2 linked regions of the Caenorhabditis elegans genome follow. The protein of the gene in region 1 purifies or fractionates together with the protein of each later gene. This does not show direct contact. Each region holds a gene or a part of one and is shown in the gene's direction. Other genes may lie near its edges.

What was found.
Region 2: the proteins of rpc-25 (region 1) and rpc-2 fractionate together in Caenorhabditis elegans (co-fractionation; one large-scale study listed by BioGRID). This does not show direct contact.

The regions. Positions count from the first base shown.
Region 1 is NC_003283.11:10,205,054-10,208,180, reverse strand, and holds rpc-25 (DNA-directed RNA polymerase III subunit RPC8), read left to right. Parts: upstream 1-1,578; 5' UTR 1,579-1,579; coding exon 1,580-1,792; intron 1,793-1,841; coding exon 1,842-2,107; intron 2,108-2,156; coding exon 2,157-2,397; 3' UTR 2,398-2,501; downstream 2,502-3,127. Other genes in the region: tftc-3 (TPR_REGION domain-containing protein), read left to right, coding at 1-114, 159-295, 346-461, 508-607, 657-1,186, 1,249-1,354; ZK856.16 (Ovule protein), read left to right, coding at 2,598-2,858.
Region 2 is NC_003281.10:5,555,258-5,559,015, forward strand, and holds the start of rpc-2 (DNA-directed RNA polymerase subunit beta), read left to right. Parts: upstream 1-2,107; coding exon 2,108-2,839; intron 2,840-3,252; coding exon 3,253-3,758. Other genes in the region: hach-1 (3-hydroxyisobutyryl-CoA hydrolase, mitochondrial), read left to right, coding at 197-250, 327-719, 772-1,145, 1,344-1,564, 1,615-1,733.

The DNA.
Region 1 (3,127 bases):
ATTCTGAGCAGTTTGTAAGGATCACGAGAATGATGCTGGCTCCCCACTTCTACAAAGTCTATATTTCTCCAGATATTTTGAAGAAACGACGGGTTACCAAAGGAAAAACGACTAGTAAGTGAAATAACATTTTAATTGTCTTCAATACGAATTTCCAGCACCTGCTCTCAGTAATACTTTGAAAACTTGTGCTTTTGGAGTTGTTAAACATACAAATTGGGAACGCCTTGTCAAAAGGCTGGGAGCAACTGTAGAAGCCAATGGGACTTTTCAAACATCGCTTTCGGGAACAGATGTAATCATTATTCGAGCATACATTTGATTGTGTAAATTTTTAATTTTCAGATACATGACTACTGTTTGAAGTTAATCGAATGTTTAAATAAAATGGAGAAACATCAAGACGCACTCATTGTCTGTTGTTATGCATTTTTACATCCAACTCTTTTCAAAGCCGACAAGTGAGCTAATTTGTTCAAAATTTTCCACACATTACAAAATTTTCAGAATCTCCACTTTCCAGAATTTAGTATATTTTTGTGCAATCAAAGCAAGATGTTGGAATTTGGCATTTGAATATGTTAGATTCTTTCACACTTTTTCTTTGGTAACAATTTGTATCTTATTGGACGCATTTAAGTAATTTAAATTTCCAGGCAGTCAGCGATCCTCAAAATGGCTCATTCTCTGACGTTCTCCAAAAACGCCTTTTCAATGCAATGAACTACGTATTCGTCAACTCTCAGAATGTCTGCTACCATCGATTTATCATGAGAGCACTCGTCAAAGCTAAAGATAATCATGCTCTTCAAGCGATTTCAGGCAATAATTCACTTATCACGGGAACATACCGACATGCAATGGGAGAGTATCTTCGAGTATGGGTAGCCAATAAACGAAATCCACTCATCTGTATGCTGCTTGCTCTCACTTTCACTCATATGTCTTGTAAGAAGGATCTCTCAAGTAGACACCTCATCGGAATCCGAGGAATTGCTTTTATGAAGAAGTATTCAAAAGCACGGGCTTGCCAACAAGAAGTCTTTTATAACATTGCCAGAATGTTCCATCAAATGTCGATTCTCCCTCTCGCCAAACATTTTTATGATAAAGTATTGGAGGTTGATCCGCCGTGTGTGTTTGATTTTGATGAAGATGGCAATGAGGTTATTATTCCAGCAATGAAGTAAGACAATTTTAAAAATAAATTAGAAATTTCTGTCTGTAGAAATACTATTAAAATTTCAGATATGACCTGAGAAAGATGGCTGCTCACAACCTGGCTTTAATCTACCGAACATCAGGAAACAATTTCGCCGCTAGGAAAATTTATGAAAAATATCTTGTTGTTTGATTTTTTGTTGAAGAATAATTTTTGTTAATCTATCCAATGTCTGACATTGTGTGGTCTAATTTATAAGTAGCAATCCCATCGTACTTTTTTAAACAATTACTTATAAATTTTCTTTTTTATTATTTTTATTTCATTATATTTGGTTCTGAGAATATAGTTCAAGCTTCCATTCAATATCTGCTGATACTGATGCCGTATAAAAGGAAAATGTTTAATATTTACAGTATGTTCATTCTTTCTCTACTGCACGATACGGTGGCTATTCAGCCTCATCAATTGAGCTCTGATCAGCAAATTGTTATCAAAAAACGGCTCAATGAACGTCTCGCCAACAAAATTATTCCGGATCTTGGTCTCTGTATTTGTGTCTATGATATAAATGAAATTGGTGATTCGTACATTTTACCCGGCGAAGGAGATTGTAGAGCGAGAGTTAAGGTAATAAATCAATGTACAGTCGTATTTGAGAAATGAAATAAATCTTCAGTTCCGTATGATCGTTTTTCGGCCATTTGTCGATGAAGTTATTGAGGCCAAAGTGATTGGTTCATCACGACAAGGTCTTTGTCTAACAATTCAATTCTTCGAAGACATTTTTGTACCGGCGGAAAAGCTTCCAGAACCTCATGTTTTCGAAGAAGAAGGGCAAGTTTGGTATTGGGAATATGCACAGGAAGATGGAGAACCACCAGCAAAACTGTATATGGATCCAGGGAAGATTGTGAGATTCCGAGTGACGGAAATCATTTTCAAGTGAGACATTTTGTATTTCATCGAAATTAAAATATTGATTTGTTTGCAGAGATCTCAAACCAGAGTTAACACACGAAGAGAGAAAAACAGAGAAATCTATGGAAATCAAAGGTACGATGGCTAGTACTGGATTGGGATGTATTGGATGGTGGGCAGCAGAAGATGAAGATGATGAAGCGGTTGAAGACGAGCAAGATGAACAAGAAGAAGTTATACAGCCCAAAGAAGAAATTAGACAGCCTCAAGAAGAAGTTAGACAGCCTGTTAAAATTAAAGAAGAGCCAGTTTAATCAAATTTTAATTGATTATAACGGGTACACTGTTTTTACTTTTTGTTATTGTTGAATAAGTTGTTATTTTTTCGTCTTGCAAAATAAATATAAAGATAGCTTGCAAAGATCGATTATCCAATCATTATGTTTGTCTCATGATTTATACAAGTACTTCCAAAGGCGGCCTGATATTTTAATTTCAGAATGGTTTCAGAAACATGAGCGAAAAAACTCGTAACCTTATGCTTAAAAGCTCAGCTGCGCCCACCAGTAGTCAACAGTACCATTCGAACAACGTCCCACTGCCAGTCTTCCGTGGAACCAGCTTGATATCGCAACTCGAAACACAAAAATATCCGACATCCTTCACAGCGTGCTCTTCTGATTTTGACAATGTAATCATTCCATCTTGTCCAAGCATTCCGATGCCGACTCAATCCTCATCGAGTACGGATACGGCCATGGATTCTTCTACTTGAGTTTTAATAACTATCAAGTGCTTCTAAAAACATCTCTGACACCATTTTCTATTTTCAAATGTGAATAAATAATTTAATCAAGCATTTCTTCCATATTTTGCCCAAAGTTCATTTCACGGTAGCCTACCGTAAATCGACATATCGAGTATGCGCCAAGAAAGAGAAATGCGCCAGCAATGGTTGTTGACACGCATCGTAACTTTATGTCGAAAATTTTTATTTAATTTTTATTCGTTCTCTGAATGTGTTCTTTATTTAATGCATTTTTG
Region 2 (3,758 bases), on another chromosome or scaffold:
ATTTGCGTGAAAATGAAAGTTAAATTATTGATTGATTAGTCTATTCCTCAAATTTCCCTATTTTCTTGTTTTGTGCTCAAAGTGCAAGCTTCTTTTTGTGATCAGTGATGTTTTCCCTTTATAACCTCGCGGAACAAGACCACTTTTCTCGTTTTCGTAAACTATTCTTCATTTTATTAAGCCAATTTTCAGAGACATGGCTGCCACTGTCCGAAACTTGCCCGCACTCTTCCGCGGACTTCATTCGAAGGTTTCATTTTTCACAAATTTTGACTAACATTTTATTTTTCTATCAAATTTTCTGTTCTAAACTCAGAAATTTCCAGGAAGTCTGCCAGAAGATGTCGTTCTCCGTGAGCGCCGCCGCCAAGTCGGAAATCCTTGTCGACACACACGGATCGAAGAAGGTGGTTACATTGAATAGGCCTAAAGCGCTAAACGCGTTGAACCTCGAAATGGTACGAGAGTTTTATCCCAAACTTCAAGCCTGGAATTCATCTTCCGATGTGGATCTTGTCATTTTGAAAGGATCCGGTGATAAGGCGTTCTGTGCTGGAGGAGATGTTCTTGCCGTTGTGCGATCTTTCAAAGATTCGGAGAGTGGAAAAGAGTGCACAATGCACAAGGATTTCTTCCGCGAGGAGTACATTTTAAATCATTTAATTGGAACTTTGAATAAGCAATACGTTTGTCTGATTGATGGAATTGTGATGGGAGGAGTAAGTTATCTGCAACTATTTTCTTTTCAATTTTTTAAAAAACTTGTTTCAGGGTTGTGGTCTTTCTGTAAATGGACGTTTCCGAGTTGCCACTGAGAAAACAATGCTAGCAATGCCAGAAACCGCACTTGGACTCTTCCCAGACGTCGGTGGATCCTATTTCCTTTCAAGGCTCAAGGGAAACCTCGGAATGTACTTGGCACTCACTGGATATCGTCTTCTAGGTGCTGACGCTTTCCATGCTGGTCTTGCCACTCATTTTGTGGAGTCTTCGGAACTTGCGAAATTGGAAAAGGAACTTGTGAATATTAAGGATGTGACAGAGAACTCTGTCGATGAAGTCATCAGATCGTTCGAGCCAAAGAAGATTCCAGAATTCAGTCTGTCCAAGAATTTGGCTCAAATTAGAGATTCCTTCAAAGCAAAGTAAGATATTTTGTCACCAAGATCACGTGTATTTGAGTTGGAACAAATTAAAAAGTAGCATTTCATCGAATTGATTTATTATTGTTTCTCAGATAATATTAGTTTTAAGCAAAAACTAGGAAAGGGCCAGTTTTGAGGATTCGATAGCACACAAAAAATTACATTTGCCTAAGATATATAAAATAATTGATTTTTCAGAAGCGTCGAAGAAATCCTCGCAAGCCTCGAAAAAGACGGATCCGACTGGGCAAAGAAGCAAGCAGCCACTCTAGGAAAAATGAGCCCAACTTCCCTGAAAGTAACTCACCGACAAATCACCGAAGGAAGCAAGATGAGCTATGCAAAGATCTTCACAATGGAGTATCGTCTCACTCAACGATTCCTCGCCGATAAGGATTTCCATGAAGGGTGCCGAGCCAGTGAGCAGAGATTTTGTAGGGTTTCATTGAAAATTTGACTCATTTTTCAGTTCTCGTTGACAAGGATCGCAAGCCAAAGTGGAATCCAGCGACGTTGGCTGATGTGAAGGATTCTGTCGTCGATAACTATTTCTCGCCATTGCCAAATAATTCTGATTTAAAATTGTAGAGGCCAGAATTAGCGGAAAATTGAATTTTTAATGGAAAGCTAAAAAATCAGGGAAACCCATAATTTTTATCGGATTTCCTCGTTTTCCTATCTTTTCACCCAAAATGTTGATTTTCCCCCATAATTTTTACCATTTTAATAGGAACCCCTTATGTATTTATTTTTAGAAAAATGTCTAGCTATAATTTAATTTTTCCGGGTGTACAAATAATTTCCGTGCCTTTTTCAGCTATTCGCCGTATGAATATAAAGTTTTTTTTTGTTTTTGAATTTTATTTCCAGATTTCTATTGCAAACTGTTATTTTCTGTTTTTGTACCTCTTTTTCAAATAATTTTTATTCTAGAATTTCAGATTTTCAATACCAATTTTCAGATGACAATTGGCCAAGTGAACGGCCGCGCTCGCATAAAATCCGAGTGCGGCAAGGATCAGAAATGCATGCCACTCGAGGACAAATGGCTTCTCGTTCCCGCGTTTTTGAAAGTTCGAGGACTCGTCAAACAGCATCTCGTCAGTTTCGATCATTTCGTGCAGGAGGAGATCCGAAGTATCATGCTCTCCAATCAGAAGATCACTTCCGATGCAAATCCAAACTTTTATCTCAAATATTTGGATATTCGAATCGGAAAACCCAGCAGTGAGGAGGGTCTCAACATGACTCACGATAAGATTACCCCTCAAGAATGTCGACTACGAGATATGACCTACTCGGCGCCAATTTCAGTGGATATTGAGTACACACGTGGTAATCAAAGAGTATTCAAGAAGGATCTGATCATTGGTCGAATGCCGATTATGCTTCGTTCGAGTAAATGTATTCTCAGAGATCTTGCCGAAGAAGAGCTTGCAAGAGTTCAAGAATGCCCATATGATCCAGGAGGTTATTTTGTGGTCAAAGGAAGTGAAAAGGTTATCCTGATTCAAGAACAACTCTCCAAAAATCGTATTATGGTTGGAAGAAATTCAAGTAAAGAACTGCAGTGTGAAGTACTTTCGTCGACGTCCGAGAGGAAAAGTAAGACATATGTGACTATGAAGAAGGGTAAATATTCTGTTCGCCACAATCAGCTCACCGATGATGTACCAGTTTCCATCATTTTCAAGGTAAATTTTGAGAATTTTGATGACAACTGAAAAAAAAAATGTTCGGCATTCATTCCTAAATATTTTATTTAAAAAAAAAAACATCCAATACAAAAACATTCTCCGAAAAATATTTTTCCAAATTTTGATGCAAAAAATATTCTCAAAAAATGTTTTAGAATAAAAAATAATGAAGCTTTCTTTCTTTCTGATTGTGAGAAACTGAACATTTTACGATATTTTCAATCGAAATTCCTCAAAAACATTTATTATCGAATCTGGAGTTTTTCAGATTTTTTTTTCCAAAATTCGAGTTCGCTTTTTTTAATTCAAGAAAATTATTACAAAAAATAGGGAAAATTTTAAAAAAAGTGTAGCATTATGTTAAAACAAAAACTAAAAACCGCTTCCTTTTCAAAGTTTCAATTTTCCAGGCGATGGGAGTCGAATCAGATTTTGACATTGTGAGTACAATCGGTCACGAGGAGAAGTACGTTTCAGCATTTGCTCAAACTCTCGAAGAATCCATAAATGCCGGAGTTTATACCCAACAGCAGGCACTCGCATATGTTACCTCAAAAGTCAAGGCTCGTAAATTCACACCATTCGGATCACTTCCAGGAACTTCAGTGAGCGTCTTGACTCCACCGAAAGAACACGAAGCAGTCGATTTTCTGTCCAATTCAATGATCACACATATTGCTTGCCCAGATGGAAATTTCAAAATGAAGGCGATTTATTTGGGATTAATGACAAGACGACTGATTCAAACGGAACTCGGAGAAAATGGGCTTGATGATCGGGATTTCTACGGAAATAAACGTTTGGAGCTCGCTGGATCATTGCTTTCGTTGCTGTTTGAGGATGTATTCAAAAGATTCAACTCTGAACTGAAAAGAATTGCAGACAATGCGTTGATGAAGACAATGGCTGCACCATT